Sus scrofa: one gene and its partners. The protein of the gene in region 1 interacts with the protein of each later gene in a pairwise test. Links are inferred from orthologs where the notes say so. Each region holds a gene or a part of one and is shown in the gene's direction. Other genes may lie near its edges. The genes, in order: PEX19, PEX10, PEX11B and PEX12.

Region 1 (4,488 bases):
AGTCTGCTCTATATGTCAAGGAAAAAGTAAGTACCTAATCTGGTGCTTGATGCAGTACTCAAGCGTGTGTTTAGAAAGCTAAGGATGAAAGTCATGAAGTGACTTTTTTCAATTAGATGTGACTTCTCCCTTTTAAACTTTATGGTACTTTATCCTTACTTCTTTTAAGACACTTAACCTTGCACCATACTTACTGTGTATGTCTAATCCTACCACCAGCCTAATCCCCAGTCAACTGCTTTACTGCAAGAGTGCAGCTTGACTTATCTCTCCATCCTCCACTATGCCCAGCGCAGGATTTTTTAAAATGTTTTTTATTTTTTTTGGAGTTCCCCGTCGTGGCTCAGTGATTAACGAATCCAATTAGGAACCATGAGGTTGAGGGTTCAATTCCTGGCCTCACTCAGTGGGTCAAGGATCCGGCGTTGCCATGAGCCGTGGTGTAGGTCACAGATGTGGCTCGGATCCCACCCACGTTGCTGTGGCTCTGGCGTAGGCTGGCGGCTACAGCTCTGATTAGACCCCTAGCCTGGGAACCTCCATATGCTGCGGGTGCAGCCCTAGAAAAGACAAAAAGACAAAAAAAAAAATATTTTTGCTACACCCGCAGCATGCATAAATTCCCAGGCCAGGGATTGAACCGGAGTCACAGCAGTGACAACACCAAATCTTTAACCACTAGACCACCAGGGAACTCCTAGCACAGGATCTTAAACAAGAGTAGATGCCTTGTAAGTGCTAAAATAGGTTTTCCTGAGGCAGTTGATGCATTCTGACAAATCTGAATAGAACAATTCCAGAGGAGGGAAGGGAAGTCTGGAGTTGTCTTTTATCTGAGCATCCCCCAACTTCATTGGGTTGAGTCCTGTGAAGAGAAAAGACAATAGGTCAAAGAAGGCAGGTTTATTACTACTGCATTCCAGTTGCCCTCTTCACTTAAGTCCAAGGTCCGAGAGTCACTTACTCCCTGGTTCAACTAACATTGGGTTCTAAGTTCTTGTGACATTTCTAATGGAGAATACAAAATGAGAGCTATCCACTAGATTCTGCAGAGAAGCATGCCTCACTAGAGCCTTGGAGAGCAAAGAGCAGCCAATGAGTGCCCACTAAGTTTTGGGCCCTAGCCAAGGAGCCGGGGTTACAGCAGTGAAGACAAGAGATGAAATCCTTTCTGTCATGGTGCTTTAATTCCAAGGAGCCTGGGGGAGAGACAATAAAGATAAATCAGTAAAATATGTAATATGTCAGATAGTGGTTAAGTGTTGAAAAAAAGAGGCGAAGTAGAGAGGAAGCATCTGTAAGTGTATGGGAGGGGTTGCAATTTTATTTAATGAGGCCAAAGAAGGCATTTCCGAGAAGGTGGCATTTCAGTAACATACTGAAGAAAGTGAGAGGAAAATAGCATATTGGCTGTGCCATAACTGTCTTACTGATTATACATGCATAGCTTTTAGTTTGCACGCAATTTGTCCCAGTCGACCTACCCGCAGCTCAAAAAAATAATGAAAGGCCCAATTCTGTAGGTAATGTGGGCAGTTGAAAGAAAGGAGGCCGGGCCAGTAAAAACCCTGACAGAAGATAACAGTAAATTCCCCTCTGTTGGTTCAGTGTTCCCGGAGAAAGAGGCGGGGAGAGGGGAACCCCAAACAAAAACAAAGGTTCCTGTACCTTTAAAAATGGCGGCCCCTCGGGCCAACAATATCATTGGTTGCACGAGGCAGGGGGGCAGGAACTGGGGGGCGCACGGCGCCGCGCAGTCCCGCCTCCTACGGCAAGTCGGAGGTGGCAAGATGGCCGCCGCTGGGGAGGGTGGTGGTGTTGGGGCTGAAGCGGACCGGGAATTGGAAGAGCTTCTGGAAAGTAAGAACCCGTAATAGAAAAGGCCTGAAGGGCGGGAGGTGTGAGGACGCATTCAGGGGGCCAAGTGAATCCGAGATAAAGGAGGCGGAGCGGGAGAGGCTCTTCAGAGGTTGGGCGGGGGCGGAGGGTCTGACTGCGACCCCCTAGAAAATCTCTAGGTCACCCTCTCCTTCCTCCTTGGCGGAGGCTGAGGATCGCATTTGCGTCCCTGTGCGGCCTAGACGGTTGATCTCCTTGCCGGAAGGGAAACTAGTCCAGAGGACGATGTTTCGGGATCCCGCTCCAAACTCCCCCTACTTTAGTAAGTTCTTGGAAGCCTAACTTTCTTCCCGCCAGCAACCACATTCGGTGCTCGGTGGGCAGAGAACTGGACACCCATGGGATTGCCTCCATTAACTCTTAGCAAGCCCGAAGCGTGCCTTTATGTGCAGTATCCTGTCCTCCTTAACACAAAAGACACGTCTTTTCCTTTTCCCAGACCTTTTTCGCACCAGGCTCCTTTCCAATTTTTTCATCATTTCAGAGCTCAAACCCATTCCTATCTCTTTAATTTGAGAACCAGAGTGAGACTGCCTCAGGGGAAGGCAGTTCACCCTCTCGAAAGTGGGTGGCGGAACTTTTCTTCCTTAGCCCCATCCACCACTCCTCTTTTGGTTTCTTGCCCAGAGTGGGGCCAGTGCCCTACCCCTAGGCCTGGCAAGCAGGGTGATGGTGAGGACACAGGCTTTTCAGGGAAGAGGTGAATATTTTTTGTCTCTTGCTGAGTCACAGAGATGTGAGCAGGTGGAAAGACGAACAGAAACGGTGAGAAGTGCCAGGCGACTGTGTGAATTGGCAGACACGGGTGTAGGCAGAGATGAGGCCAAAGGGAGCTCTAGGAGCTTTGGAGAGGGAGAGCTAAATTGAAAGATAAAAGAAGAGAATTCAGTGCCCTCCAATGGTGTGTAATATGGAGTCTCTCAGCTTGTACAAGGACCTATGCGAAGCTAGGTGAAACATCTTGTGGCTTCTGCTCTCTTGCCCAAGATTACTCCCTTGAGGGCTCCAGAGTGAGTTCAGAGGGTTAAGGACATCTGGTCTCTGCCTCCCTTGGATATTTGCATGGGATTTCTAGGGAATCATTAAAGTATGGCAGAGAAGGCACTGTGTCGGTGGAGGTGTCTCTGCAAATCTTTTAACTCTTCTCCTAACTCCAAGAGAGATGCTTGTTCCACCTTGAGGGATGTCTTCCCCTTTATCACATTAAATTAGACAATAGGTAGGGAAGTGGGAGGCTTATTGAGGGGTGGGCTGGGAGACTTTTAAAGGAGAAAATTTTAGGAAAGTTGACAGTTTGTACTCTTAATGTTTTGCCCAGAAACTCCCAACCTTTCATCCTCATCCATCCCCAAAACACCCCATGTTTCTTGTCTCTGAAGGTGCTCTTGATGATTTCGATAAGACCAAACCCTCCCCAGCACCCCCTCCTACCACCACGGCCCCTGATGCTTCGGGGCCTGAGAAGAGATCTCCAGGAGACACTGCCAAAGTATAAATTCCACTCGCTTAAGGGATGGGGAGGGGATGGGCATGCAGCTCTGGGCAGAGGTGGGGAAGGCCCCTGTGGGCCAAAGGGGAGTTGGGGGAGGGTGCCTTGGCCTTACATTGCAAAGTGCTCTTGCAGGCCTCAGTCCTCATGAAACAGGAACTTGAGATTGAGGGGAGGGATCTCAAGGTTAAGTTCCTTAAGAAGAGAGCAGATTTAAATGGTTGGATTGGGAATGCCACTCCATACCCTTCCCTCAGTGGCCAGATGCCTTTTTGCTGTCCTCTTTAAGAGAGGTGGTCAATGTCCAGTGGAGGTGAGTAGGAGGGGAGCACTACATTTCCTAGAGCTTCTCTCAGAGGCCATGTGCAGTGAGTTGCCAAGTAAGAGATGCATTTTGGTCACATCTCCCCTGCAGGATGCCCTCTTCGCCTCCCAAGAGAAGTTTTTCCAGGAGCTGTTCGACAGCGAGTTGGCTTCCCAAGCCACTGCAGAGTTCGAGAAGGCAATGAAAGAGTTGGCTGAGGAAGAGCCCCACCTGGTAGAGCAGTTCCAAAAGCTCTCAGAGGCTGCTGGGAGAGTGGGTGAGAAGGGGGCCCTAGACAACTAGAAATATCTGAACAAACCTCTTAGGTCATTGTTTCTTGAGAACACCAAAATTTTTTTGTAAAGTTGATAGTAATTATGATATCACTGCCATCACAACCATGTCACTGATATCACTGAAGGGAGGAGATGGGAGGAGAAATGAGACCCTGTTTAATGAAAGGGGTAGTTGGGAAATGATAGTTTGGGAAGTAACAGATGAAATTATTGACAGCTGACCATTTTAAAGGTCACAGTGTTAATGTGGGTGTCACTGTGGAGAACAGACTGACACACAGTCCACATAGATTTGTGAAAATAACTGTGGAGATAACCATAGAAAATTCAAAGATGTAGCGTGCCAGTGATTCACTAATAAATGCTCCATATTCAAGCTGGAGTATTCAAGATTGACCAGGTCAGTCTAGGCAAGCAAACAGTTGAAATCAGAAATGGCCTTGACTCTTTTTATCTCTCCTAGGCAGTGATGCGACTTCCCAACAAGAATTCACTTCTTG
Region 2 (4,563 bases), on another chromosome or scaffold:
GAGAAGACAGGGGAGGATGCTGTCCTGGGCAGGGAGCTGGGACCTGCCAGTGGGGTGCGGTGCCCAGGGAAGTGCCCACCCCTCAGGCTTCCTGAAGGAGCCAGCTGGTGATCTTGAGAAAGGGGACAAAACCTCCTCCAGGGAGTTCGCATCGTGGCTCAGCAGTAACGAAGCCAACTAGTAGCCATGAGGATGAGGGTATGATCCCTGGCCTTGCTCCATGGGTGAAGGATCAGGCGTTGCTGTGAGCTGTGGTGTAGGTCACAGACGCAGCTCAGATCCCGTGTCTCGTGAGCTGTGGTGTAGGCCGGCACCTGTAGCTCCGAGTAGATCCCTAGCCTAGGAATTTCCATATGCCACAAGCGTAGACCTAAAAAAGACCAACAAATAAAAATAAAAAATAAAAAATACTCCAGCTCCAACTTGGTGCCAGTGGACACAGGCCAGGGCGTCTCTGTGGTCAGGAAGGAGCAGTGTGTTTCAGCCTGTTGGGTGAGGACTGACCAGAAATTTCTGAGGCATCAGTGTCTCCCCCAGGCCCCGCTTGTGAGTCTGTCCACCCCAGGCTGGAAGCCAAAGGAGCAGGCAGCCTCTGCGTTCAGGAAACAGGGTGTACCCACAGGCAGGGGTGCCACTCTGAAGGGACAGAGGCGCTTCATTAGCAGGAAGGACTGTGGGACCATCCAGCTTCTGCCCCTTCCCTCTAAGAGCTGCCTACAGCTGTGGGGCCCCGATAAGCTCTAGACTGTGCCCACAGCTCAATTCCAGGGGGTTGAGCTGCACCAGCCTGGGCACGTACCCACAGCTGATGCCGGGATACAGGAGCAGAAGTGAAGCCAAGAGCTGCAGCCTGTCTCAAGCCACGGCCTGCTGGCCAAAGTCACTGCTGGTGACTCCCCCACCCCCTAGGTTCACCTGCATTTTTTCTCTCCTGCTGGTCCCACAGCCCCCCCTTTGTGCCCACAGGACGGGGCCCTTTTTCACTGGGACCCCTCTGGTCTGGGGCACAGATGCAGATGTTGTGACCTGCTCCAGGCCCAGAGCCCTCAGGGTGCCCCACTTCCTCCTCCCACTGTCCTCCCCCGGGGCTCCTCCCTGGGTCCTCCTTGCAGCTCAAATCCAGCTGTGCCTGTGCCCAGGTGCTAGTCTCTCCTACCTCTGTCCCCCCTAGTGCATGGCCTCCCAAGGCCCCCAAGTCTCCCTCGGTCCCACTTATGAGAGCAGCTCAGAGAGGTCAGGGGTCTGCACTTGTGGGGCCTGGGGGGCCACCAGTATAAACACCGTAGTTCAAGAATCCGTACTCCTGGCCCCGCCCTGGGCCCCAGATCCTATTCCGCCAGCCCGCGGGGGGCGGGGGGTGGTCGCAGGGATTAGAGCACAAGGGATGCCAGCACCCCGCGGAGGGCACTGCAAGGAGAGGGAGCAACGCCCTCCTCACTTCCTGCCCCAGAGAGCGGACGACTGTCTCCGCACCGGGGAGGGCGCCCGCGCCGGCTCTGACGTTCCTCGCAATACCTGAGGGCTGTCCCCATGGCCCCTCGCCCCCATGCCCCGCCTATCCGCCCCTCCTGCTCTGCGCCTGCCCTCCCCCGGGCCGCGATCGCCCCGCACAGACCCGACCCGGCACAGAGCCGGGCGGGCTCGGCTTTGGCCTCTGCCGCCCCGCCCCGCCCCGCCCCGCCCCGCCCCGCCCCGCCCCGCCCCGCCGGCTCGGCCCCGCCCCGCGCGCTGTGACGCTCAAGGTCTGTGCCGCGCGCCACGCCGAGCCCGAGCCCCGGCCGTCATCTGGCGCCGCCGCGTGGGCGTGGCCGTCTCCGTGTCGCCGAGGCCGCAGGTCCCTTCGACTCCAAGCCCTCGGCGATGGCTCTTACGGCCGCCAGCCCCCCGGAGGTGGTCCGTGCGGCGCAGAAGGACGACTACTACCGCGGCGGGCTGCGGAGTGCGGCGGGCGACGCCCTGCACAGCCTGGCGGGTGAGGCCTCTGGGGGGGCCCGCGGGTGGTCCTGGGCGCCAGGCTGGGGGGCCAGGCGGGCGGACGAGCCCCAAACCCGTCGGCTCGGCCACCGCGGGCTCGGCCAGGCCCTGCGCGCCGCGCTGAGACCTGAGCTGCAGGAAGAAGCGAGCGCCTCGGTCTTCGCCCCCGGCTGCCGGGGGCGGGGTGGGGATCAGGCGCCAGCTGTGGGAGCGTCCACGGCTCTGGGGACACACGAAGGCCCCCGTTGAGCAGCGGCAGTGGAGCCCAGTGGACGGACGAAAGCCTGGGGTGGATTTTGGCCCACAGCTGGGCTGCTACTCGGAACAGCCGAGGCGAGGCCGGACCGTAGATTCGGGACTTGGGTGGCCGTCAGCAGGGAGGCACCCACTTGTGTATTTATTTTTGCTAATTTTTTGCCTTACTTTGTGTCAGACCCTGTTCTCTGTGCTTCAGAACATTAACTTCTTTTATTCTGAACACATCCCTGCAAGTTAGGACCTGTTACTGACAGGGAAATGTTGTAACTTGCCTGAGGTCACTGCCATTGTTGTGGGGAGCTAGGATTTGATGCTGGACGGTGGGCTCAGCTTGAGCTTCTGGTCACTGTACTACCCCGTCTGTCCTTGTGGCCCTTCTGGGCTCTGGAACAGTTGCCCAGGTGGGTCCTGGAGGGGGAGAGGGCTGTTGGTGGGTAGGTTCTCAGGACACTCAGCGGCCCAGGTGAGGCAGGTATGGATGGAGCAGAGTGGACAGCACAGAAGGCCAGGGAGAGAACAGAGTGTGGTTTAGACCAGTCTCAGCCATTGGAGCGGGGACTGGGCGGGGCCCTGGCAGCAGGAGAGAGAGCTGTTTCTAATTCTCACCAGCGCACCGCCTCACCCCCCGGCCCTCAGTAACAGGCTCTCTCTTCTCTCAGGTGCGAAGAAGTGGCTGGAGTGGAGGAGAGAGCTCGAGCTGGTGTCGGATGTAGCCTACTTCGGCCTCACCACACTTGCAGGTAGCAGCCCCAGGCGGGACCGAAGGACCCACGACACACCCAGAGGACAGGAGAGGGGCTGCCAGCCAAGGAAGGAGCTTCTGGAGGTGCTTCCTGGTGTCCCTGGCCCAGACCAGCCTCAGGGAAGCAGAGCCCCTTCCCTGGATGAGAGGCCAGGCCCAAACCCAGGCCAGGGCCCCTGGAAACTGAGAGTCCTGTCATGCAGGCCCCGGGACTGTGTGTCTGTGGCTGAACTCATGGCCCCGGGGGCCCGCCCTGAGGGAGCCTCGTCTTTTAGAGGAGGGGCGGCCGTGGTAGAGGGAAGGAGATTGCTGCCAGGTCCCCATCCCCCACAGGCTACCAGACCCTTGGGGAAGAGTACGTCAGCGTCGTCCAGGTGGACCCGTCCCAGAGCCGAGTGCCCTCCAGGCTGCGCCGCGGGATCCTGGTGGCTCTGCACACCGTCCTGCCCTACGTGCTGGACAAGGCCCTGCTCCACTTGGAGCACGAGCTGCAGGTGGCCGGCGACAGCACCCGGCCCACGCAGGGCAGCCTGGCGCCCACTGCACGCAGCCAGTCAGCCCCAAGGCGCTGGGTGCGCAGGCGGACGGCCACCCTGACGGAGCAGCAGCAGAGGGCGCTTCTGCAGGCCGCGGGGATGCTCAGGCAGGTCCTTGGCTGCCTCCGGCGGCTCCACGTTGCCTGGTTCTACATCCACGGTGCCTTCTACCACCTGGCCAAGAGGTTCACTGGCATCACCTATGTAAGTAACTGGTGCCACCTGGACCTGCTCGGTTCTGGCTCATCAGCAGGGAGCTGGCTTTTCCGGGCCTCTGTCCACGAGCAGTCACAGGCCTGGAGCCAGAACCTTCCATGGGAAACATGGGTTGTGTCGGCTCCATTTTGCCAAAAGGCCCACGGAAGTCTGCTTTCCATAAACCCTGAAGGTCGGGCTGGTCTGTCTTCCTGCAGCCTGCGCTTGAACTCTGTGCCAGGCCTGCCTCCCACGCCCCTTCCAGGCTGCCCGCCAGAGTCAGGTATAGGGACCCCGGTGGTGACCCCGCAGCAACCACGAGGCCACCCTGCTGCCAGCATCCCCACCGGTCTCCACCCTCCACCTGCAGATGCCCCTTCCCTTCGGGGTCTCAGCTGCCGCCCTTGCTTCCAGATTCACCCTGAAGGCCTCCCCAAGGGTCTGCAGGCGCCCCGCCCCAGGCCTCGCTGTGCCGGCTCTGTTGGTTGAGGTGTTTGCTGAGCTGCTGCAACAGACACAGGGTGCATCCAGTCAGGGTGTCAGGCTCCAGGCTCCAGCTGTGTGGCTGACCTGACTGTCCCCACTTCCAGCCAAGGCAAGGAGATGGACGTGCAGGGCAGGCCCCTCCCCCTCGAGGATGTGGCCTCAGTGTCCTCAGCTGCAGGAGGGGCCGGGTGGTGCCTCGCTCTGTTCCTTGGACAGGGCCACGCAGCCGTGTCTGCAACACTGAGCCCGCGCCTGTCCACTGGGTGTGCTCCTCAGGCTCGTTTGCCTCCGAGGTCTGGGTGCCTGGCCGTCCCCCTCACCCTGCGGTCCTCCCTGCAGCCAGTGTGACCTGCAGAGTCTGACCCCTGGGCT
Region 3 (4,413 bases), about 9.2 Mb from region 1:
GACTTTGTTGCTCTATGCTTGATAGAGCATTTGAATGCACCTGGAGGATGCACATTATTTTTTTGAACTGATGAATGAAGGTACCGCAAAGTTTTACCCAAAGCCCCTGATTTCACTGTCTTCTTAATGTCTTCCCATGTATGTTTCCTCCATGCCCTAGAATTTTTTTTGCAATAATCCAAAGAAAGCGGAGAAGGTGGGATTAGGAGGATACAAAAAAATGGAAGCCAACTGTAGTAAAAATAAAGGCTTGTAGCAGAAAATACAAATTAATGATCTTAACTTGCGGAAGAGATAGCAGAGTCTCTCCGTTGAGGATTAATGGTGACCACGGCCAAGCACGCTCCTTGAATCTGAAGGCTCATGTGGTGCACCCAAATTCTTGTCCGGTGTAGCCCTGAGTCCCGACAAGTTACTCACCTGAGGCAAGGCAAGAAGGAAACTGAGTAGCCAGGCTGCCCCCAGAAGTTTCCTTCCAGCTGAGCGGGGTCCAAGCGGGTGTAGTACGGCTGCCTGGCGGTCGAGCCCAATGACCACAGGCAGGAAAGCTGCGGCATACATGGCCATTAGTTTCAGGAACATGAGTGTTCGACATGCGATGTCCCCGGCCAGCCACTGAACAGTGATATTCCAGGAGGCATCTAGGGGCATAACCACAAAAGTAACCAGTAAATCGGCAGCTGCTAAATGAGCAAAAAGTCGTCGTACCGGAGAGGGGCGGAGCTGGCTGGGTTGCGGCCGTGTCACCGACCACAGTACGGCCAGGTTTCCTCCAGCCGAAGAAACAAATAGCACAACGGTCACTCCAACCCGGACCTTAGCTGCAACTGAGAAGGTGGGTAGCTCTGAGCTCTCCACCTCTACTCCTGATCCCGCCCAGACCTCTTCCCCCACTGCTGACCCCAAAGGGGTGCCATTGCCTGCAGACATGGTGACATGGAAGGGAAAGGGATGGGGGGATGAAGTGTGGGTTTGAAGAGGTTAGCTGAATCCACTCATTCTTCTTTCCTTTTCAGGATCTGGAGTTGGTTATTTCGCGAACTTAGTCCACTAAAGCCTCTGAATCTGGAGATTCTCCGTATGTATTCTGGAGGTCATCGGTCCAAGTGTTAGAATCCTGCAGGGAACAGGGATCTGGTGCTGGCTTTTACTTCCACAGACTTCTCAAGCCCCTAGGGCATCCTAAATTAGGGGAAACCTTATCCTAGCGGCCGCGGCAAGAGCACTGCGGCACCTTCTCGCTCCGCCCCCCATCCTGCAAGCCCCGCCCTTGGCCTCGAATGTTTAAAGAAGAATGTGCCTCTGGAGGCGTACTTAGGAAATAGAGATCAGCTGATAAGAAGGCGAGCTAACGGAGGCACCCACAAAAACACGCAGGTGTAGGCCCAGAGACAAGTGCTTCTAGTTCCGAAACTCCGCTTCTGTGGCTGGCTCCGTTCAAATTTCTTTTTGACGATGTTTGTCCCTTGCGCGACACCGTTGGGCCGTCCGGTAGGCGTGACTAGGGGCGGGAAGTGGGCGGGGGTGGGGCTGCGGAGCCGGGGCCGCCGCTGTCATGGACGCCTGGGTCCGCTTCAGCGCTCAGAGCCAGGCCCGGGAGCGGCTGTGTAGGTGCGGCCCGAACAGGAATGGGGGAGGGCGGGCAGAGGAAGGTCCTCGTGAAGCGAGGACAGTTCACACTACGGGGGTCAAAAAGGGTCATCTTGGGCTACGGGGGCCCGGACGGACCGCGAGGGGTTGATTTGAACCAGCCGTGAGGCCGTGATTCGTTTTTGCTCACGGGAAAGATGGGAAAACTGAGGCACGAGTGGGCCAGCGGGGAGGTCGCTCAGGGATGCGCGTTCACATGAGACTAATACTTCCCTCGCCGGGTGGTGGTGGCGTGAGGAGCATCCGCCCCGTGGTTGATAGCGACCTGAACTCTGTCCCCAGAGCTGACCAGTCGCTCCGAAGTTTCCGTGTCCCCTCATCCTACTGACCCGCGAACTCTTCTGCCTCCGTCCTGCCTTCTAGTCTCGATTCCCCTCAAGAGCCTTGGAAATCTCTCAGTTCACCTTTCTGAAGAATTTCCCCTCCAGCTATCCCCCACTCCCTCACGTGGACACACACATGTTCACACTAGAAGTGCTTGTGATGGACGCCTTGCCACCTTGTCCTCTTCGGGCCTCATGTAGTCAAATCTCTTATTTTCTCAATTCTAAGTAGTGCTACCCAAACTCTTCGAGGCTCCTTTTTATCCTTATGCCTTTCTTTTCCCCTGCCTGGAGATAGAGCTTGAGGAGGAAAGGGAGTAGTCTCAAATTGGAAAAAGGGGGAATCCAGACTTGCCTTTAGGAGGACGTTTTTGAGGGGGAGATTAGGGAGGTCTCCACCTTACATTACCGCTCACTCTCTCCTCCAGGGCCGCCCAATATGCTTGCTCCCTTCTTGGCCATGCCCTACAGAAACATGGGGCCAGTCCTGAGTTACAGAAACAGATTCGACAGCTGGAGGGTCATCTGAGCCTAGGAAGAAAGCGTAAGTAACCATGCCTCTTGGAGTTCCCTGGTGGCGTGGTGGTTAAGGGTTCTGCTTTGTCATTTCAGTGGTGCAGGTTCAGTCCCTGGCCCAGGGACCTCTCCATCCTCCTGGGCAGCTTAAAAATAGAAAAAGAAACAAAAAAAGCTGTTCCTGTCCTTTCATTATTTTATTTCTTTTTTTTCTTTTTTTTTTTTTTTTGCCTTTTTGCCATTTCTTGGGCTGCTCCCAGGCTGGGGGTCCAATCGGAGCTGTAGCTGCCAGCCTACGCCAGAGCCACAGCAACGCGGGAGCCGAGCTGCGTCTGCAACCTACACCACAGCTCATGGCAACGCCAGATCGTCAACCCACTGAGCAAGGGCAGGGACCAAACCCGCAACCTCATGGTTCCTAGTCGTATGCGCCAACCACTGCGCCATGACGGGAACTCCATGCCTTTTCATTATTTTAACACTTCCTCCCTCCCCAGCTATTCTTCCTTTGTTCTGCCCTGTTTTTTGGGGTGTTTTGTTTTTGTTTTGCATGTGGAATTTCCTGGGCCAGGGATCGAACCCACGCCACAGCAGTGAACAGAGCCACTGCAGTGACAACTCTAGATCCTTGACCCTCTTAACCGCAAGAGAACTTCCTTCCTGTTTTTGACCTTTTCTTCCAATTGTCCCTCATTTGCCCTTGCACTTATCTTCTGCATGTCTCCTGAGTAAGATAAAAGAGCAGGGGTAAGAGTAATGAAGGATTGGAGAGAACAGGGCAAATTTGAGAAAACTAGTGCCACAGAAATTAATTAAAACTTGTAAAAAAGAATGAACTGTTTCCGCTTTTCTTTTAAATTGTTATTATTGTTTCTATCACTTGCTCGACTTTCACTTTCTTTCTTTCTTTCTTTCTTTCTTTCTTTCTTTCTGTCTCACTCTCTGTTTGCCTCTCTCCTCCCAAATTTTTGCTTTTCCTTTCTAATCCCCACAAGTTCTACGCCTCGGTAACTCAGCAGATGCCCTTGAGTCAGCCAAACGAGCTGTGCATCTATCAGATGTTGTCCTGAGATTCTGCATCACTGTTAGTCACCTTAATAGAGCTTTGTACTTCGCCTGCGATAATGTCCTGTGGGCCGGAAAGTCTGGACTTGTTCCCCGTGTGGATCAGGAGAAGTGGGCCCAGCGTTCATTCAGGTTTGATATGCTTTTGTCCTGCAAGACTTTTTATATTCTCCATACTGTATAGCCCACCATTCATGAGAGAACAATCTATCCCAGCACATATACATCTTAATCACTTAATCTTTCATTTAGATCTTAAACCATCAGAGAATCATGAATGGGAGCAGATGGAAGACAGATGCTCTCTCATGATGGGTGACTAAGATTGGGCAAAATGAGATATTAATAATATTACTTTAATTTGGCTTCTATCTGTAAAACAGTTTATGTCCCTCACTGCCTGCTAATTCATTCATTCTAAAAATATTTAGTAGCTGCTTACTGTGAGCCAGGGAATAATAAAGCAAAGAGTCAAATAGGAATGGTTCATGCTCTCATGAAGCTTCTAGTCTAGTAGGGGAGTCAGTTATTTAAAACAAGTAATCACCAAACCATATATTTGTGGAAAAGTGTAGAATCTCATGAGGTATCTAACAAGGGGAGCTAATGTAGATCAAAAGGTCAAGGAAGAACTCTTTGAGAAAATTAAATTTTATTTCTGAGTAGAAGTTATACAAAGCAAACAGTAGCAGAGAAGACCATTCCAAACAGAATATAGCACATTCTAAGACCTTGAACCAAGAAAGGCTTAATGGAATTAGAGACATAGAAAGAAAGCCAGTGTGTTCTTAATGGAATTAGAGACATAGAAAGAAAGCCAGTATTGAGTAAGGACTTAAGTTCAAACTGGAGAGATAGA
Region 4 (4,314 bases), on another chromosome or scaffold:
TTTGAATGGCCTCATTGTTCCCAGCTGATATCATCTCTTCCATTAAATTCACACCATATTGAACCTGATGACTCTTAATAACTTTAAATGCAATCAATTTTGGGGTCTTATTTATTACATCATAAACCTAAGAGTGGGATCTATGATTAGGTGTTTATTTTTTGTTGGCTGTAGTAATTGACTTTTTTTTTTTTAACTGCCTTTCCCTTTTCTCATGTGATAATGTCAGTTTATTTTTGGAATAGTCTCAATGGGCTATTAAGTTGTCTTGCCATCTTTTGTCTAAGAGTGAAACAGGGAGTGGTGAGGAAATCCGAACCAAGGTAGGTCACAAGGAATCTGAATTGTAAGTACAGGGACAGAAAGAAATTTGTTGAACCTCATTCACGGCAACAATGATGCCTAGATGAGACTTTGCTAATTCTTGCGAGAAACATCCAGTAGGGCTGTATAATTACTGTACTTTCAGAGTTGGCTTTCCTTATTTTGTTAGCTACTCCATATTCTTCCGATAATTTTTTTAGTTTAAATTAGCTGTTTTCTGTTGCTTGTAGCCAAAAACCATAACTGATACAAGTTTAACTAACTTCCCATTCATCTTAGTTGATGCTATTTCTCAGCTTTGTCTTTTTGCTGTTACTTAAGAAAAGCCCATTTGTAACAGCTACCTTTGATCACATATCTAATGCCAAGTGCTTTATACATTACTCCAGTCCTTAAAACTCTGTAAGGTGTTCCCCTTGTGTCACAGCAGAAATGAATCCAACTAGTATCCATGAGGATGTGGGTTCCATCCCTGGCCTTGCTCAGAGGGTCGGGGATCTGGCATTGCCATGACCTGTGGTGTAGGTCACAGACATGGCTGGGATTCCACGTTGCTGTGGCTGTGGTGTAGGCTGGCAGCTGTAGTTCTGATTTGACCCCTAGCCTGGGAATTTCTATATGCCACTGGTATAGCCCTAAAAAGAAAAAACAAAAAACAAAAAAAACCTCTATAAGGTAAAACTCTTACATTAACGTGACTTTCTCCTGCAGGCGTTTTAGCAGAATATAAAACACTTTGTAGAACTAAAATCAAGGTTAACTTGCAAGATTTTATTTCTCCTCTTTGGATAATAAACTTTGTTTTCCACCATTCTCATTCTGTGAAACAATTAACTACCTTTATAAGGTCCTCTAAGGCAGTAACTAATAACCTCCTATGGAGTTCCCATTGTGGCTCCGCGGAAACAAATCTGACCAGTAACCATGAGGACACATATTTGATGCCTAGCCTTCCTCAGTGGGTTAAGGATCCGGTGTTGCCCTGAGCTGCGGTGTAGGTCCAAAATGCAGCTCAGATCTGGTGTTGCGTGGCTGCCACGTAGGCCAGTGGCGACGGCTCCAATTCAACAACTAGCCTGGGAATCTCTATGTGCCCTGGGTGCCACCCTGAAACAAAACAAAACAAAACAAATCACCTTCTATTTCTGGTTATTTGGGGGGGGGGAGGGGGCGTTGGAGAGAGAAGGAGATGAACTCTAACTTCATATAAATTAAACCTGCAGCAGCAACTCAACCAAGGCAATTGCATACGATGTAAAAGTACGTTGCAAATCCTAAGGTTAATTACATTCCTTCTGGTATACAAACAACGAAAACTATCTTCTCTGTCAAGCCTCCCCAGTTCACGCTAGTTAGAATTCATCTGATTCGTACCCAATATTCATATCGCTAAGGTAACACAGTCGACTGTGTACGAGCGTAGGAACCAGTTTGAACTAGCGTACCAAGTGCTTACAGTTATGCTTGAAAGAACCTAATCTAGAAGACTCGTCCCAACTTGTGAGTAACAAAAGATCTCTTCTCATCCTAATCATTTTTTTTTCTTTAAATAGCAATTGGCGACCATAAAGCTAAGGCTTCTATCTCCAATTATGTCGCTTCAAATCCTCCCCTAAGGCAGCAGAAAACGGTGAACCACCACCCTCGCCACGAGTACAGCGAGAGCCTTCCATCTTCACATTCCCTTGCGTCCCTCGACTCCTAAACTCGATCGCCCCAGGTAACAAACGCCTCTGTGGGCTGAGTTCTGGCTCCAGCCGCCAAACGTTGGTGCGGCGCCCTCAACACCCTGCTAAAAAGACTCTGCAGAGAGAGATCGGAACCGTAACTTTCCCATGAGGCGGCAAAACAAAAACAACTAGGAAAAGTAAAACCAACCAGCGGAGAACGGCTCTGCAAGCAAAACCCCTAGCGCCTTCTTTACTTTCAGCAGGAGGCGGAAGCGGAAGTCCCAGTGAGGCCATAGAGATCTCTAGTTCCGGTCTCGCGGTCGCATTCCGGGCTAGAGCGCCTCGCCTCGCCTCCGCCAGCCTTCTCCAAGCCCCGTGGTCTATTTCCGGTTGCGGCTTCTGTCATAAAGCGGAGACCTGCTTTCAAACGCTGTGTCGCGGGTCTCTGGCGCTTCGCAGGAGTCAGCGCGCTAGGACGGGAACAGGCGGGGGGGCTGCACTGCTCACAACTGAGCCTGACCGAGCGGACCCTCAGAGCCGCCTGGCTTTTGGAGCCTTTAAGATTGAAGTCTATGATTGACAGCTTCCAGGACTGCGGCTCGAGAGTTCAGCGCTCCTTCGCCCGTACCTGTCCCCCTCTGTCACACGCTCTACCCTGTGAGGTGCAGCATTAATCAAGTCACCCCCTCCCACTCGCCACTGCCACCCGCGTCTGCGTCAACTTGGTTCTTAACCTCCTTCACCCAAGAACCCCTCCCCTCTGCCTCCGGAAAAGGTCTTTTTTTGCCTAGTTCTTGTAAAATTAAGGGGGTATCCTGCAGAAAGTTATCTTCAAAACTGACACCATCTGATACTCCCCAAAAGTTCATGCTTGCTAGGGAGTTTGTGTGCAAAGCAAAACCCAGTGCACACAGGAAACTATGGCTGAACATGGGGCTCACATCACAACTGCTTCTGTAGTGGATGACCAGCCATCCATCTTTGAAGTGGTAGCCCAGGAAAGTTTAATGACAGCAGTGAGACCTGCTCTTCAGCATGTGGTCAAGGTAAGGATTTAATTCCCTGAAACGTTTTAGAGATGTCTGGGTAAAAACTAAACCAACATTTTTGAATGTATTTGTTGGCCTAAGTTTTTTTTGTTTTGTCTTTTTGCCTTTTCTAGGGCTGATTCCCGTGGCACATGGAAGTTCCCAGGCTAGGGGTCTAATCAGAGCTGTAGCCACCGGCCTAGCCACAGCCACAGCAATGCAGGATTCCGAGCAGCGTCTGTGATCAACACCACAGCTCACGGCAATGCCGGATCCTTAACCACTGAGCAAGGCCAGGGATCGAACCTGCAACCTCATGGTTCCTAGTCGGATTCGTTAACCACTGCGCCAGCACAGGAACTCCTGTTGGCCTAAGTTTTGAAATAACCAGTTTGCATATAATTCATATCCTATGATTTAACTGTTACTCGGGTCTCTGTTTTGTGTTGAGTGTTGTGTGTACTCAATACCCAGCACTTAAGGAAGCTTAAAATAGAATTTAGAGGGGAAAAAAAAGGAATTATAAATACAAGGCATAGTATATGTGTAATTAAATTTCGTTTATTTATTTTGCTTTAGGTTCTTGCAGAATCAAATCCTGCCCACTATGGCTTCTTTTGGAGATGGTTTGATGAAATTTTTACCGTGCTGGATCTTTTGCTCCAGCAGCATTATCTGTCTAAAACCAGTGCCTCGTTTTCTGAAAACTTTTATGGCTTAAAGAGGATTGTAATGGGAGACACACAGAAGCTTCAGAGATTGGCCAGTGCTGGTCTCCCAAAGAGGCAGCTCTGGAAGTCAATTATGTTCCTGGTTCTTCTTCCCTATCTGAAAGTGAAGCTGGAGAAGCTAGTTTCCAGCCTGAGAGAAGAGGATGAATATTCCATCCATCCCCCTTCTTCCCGCTGGAAGCAATTTTACAGAGCCTTCCTGGCAGCCTACCCATTTGTTAACATGGCCTGGGAAGGCTGGTTTCTAGTACAACAGCTTCAGTACATCCTAGGAAAGGCTCAGCATCACTCACCACTGCTGAGTCTGGCTGGAGTTCGCCTTGGGAGGCTTACAGTTCATGATATACAAGCTCTGGAGCACAAACCAGCTGAAGCCAGCATGATGCAGCAACCTGCTGGGAGGTAAGACCTTAACATTTCCCCCAAATCTTTGATTGATAAATTCTAAAAGCTTATCCAAATTTTATGAAACTCACCTCTCTCAGTCCACGTGGAGGTATTTCATAAAATCAGAGAAAAAAATTCTTGTGTCCATAAAACAAGGACTGTCATCCCGGTAAC

Evidence for each region.
Region 2: the proteins of PEX19 (region 1) and PEX10 interact in a two-hybrid assay, tested with the Homo sapiens proteins (4 studies listed by BioGRID and IntAct, with this or other methods). The link is inferred for Sus scrofa from reciprocal best matches to the Homo sapiens genes PEX19 and PEX10.
Region 3: the proteins of PEX19 (region 1) and PEX11B interact in binary tests that used the Homo sapiens proteins (3 or more experiments, as listed by UniProt). The link is inferred for Sus scrofa from reciprocal best matches to the Homo sapiens genes PEX19 and PEX11B.
Region 4: the proteins of PEX19 (region 1) and PEX12 interact in a two-hybrid assay, tested with the Homo sapiens proteins (4 studies listed by BioGRID and IntAct, with this or other methods). The link is inferred for Sus scrofa from reciprocal best matches to the Homo sapiens genes PEX19 and PEX12.

The regions. Positions count from the first base shown.
Region 1 is NC_010446.5:90,195,315-90,199,802, forward strand, and holds the start of PEX19 (peroxisomal biogenesis factor 19), read left to right. Parts: upstream 1-1,671; 5' UTR 1,672-1,676; coding exon 1,677-1,860; intron 1,861-3,278; coding exon 3,279-3,388; exon of another isoform or gene 3,389-3,605; coding exon of another isoform or gene 3,606-3,701; intron 3,702-3,803; coding exon 3,804-3,969; intron 3,970-4,451; coding exon 4,452-4,488. UniProt on the Homo sapiens protein: Necessary for early peroxisomal biogenesis. Acts both as a cytosolic chaperone and as an import receptor for peroxisomal membrane proteins (PMPs).
Region 2 is NC_010448.4:64,314,867-64,319,429, reverse strand, and holds the start of PEX10 (peroxisome biogenesis factor 10), read left to right. Parts: upstream 1-1,751; 5' UTR 1,752-1,860; coding exon 1,861-1,972; intron 1,973-2,891; coding exon 2,892-2,972; intron 2,973-3,307; coding exon 3,308-3,714; exon of another isoform or gene 3,715-4,563.
Region 3 is NC_010446.5:99,413,899-99,418,311, forward strand, and holds the start of PEX11B (peroxisomal membrane protein 11B), read left to right. Parts: upstream 1-1,504; 5' UTR 1,505-1,555; coding exon 1,556-1,611; intron 1,612-2,401; coding exon 2,402-2,517; intron 2,518-3,484; coding exon 3,485-3,686; intron 3,687-4,413. Other genes in the region: GNRHR2 (gonadotropin-releasing hormone (type 2) receptor 2), read right to left, coding at 421-930. UniProt on the Homo sapiens protein: Involved in peroxisomal proliferation. May regulate peroxisome division by recruiting the dynamin-related GTPase DNM1L to the peroxisomal membrane. Promotes membrane protrusion and elongation on the peroxisomal surface.
Region 4 is NC_010454.4:39,930,239-39,934,552, forward strand, and holds the start of PEX12 (peroxisome assembly protein 12), read left to right. Parts: upstream 1-1,441; 5' UTR 1,442-2,914; coding exon 2,915-3,040; intron 3,041-3,601; coding exon 3,602-4,155; intron 4,156-4,314. UniProt on the Homo sapiens protein: Component of a retrotranslocation channel required for peroxisome organization by mediating export of the PEX5 receptor from peroxisomes to the cytosol, thereby promoting PEX5 recycling.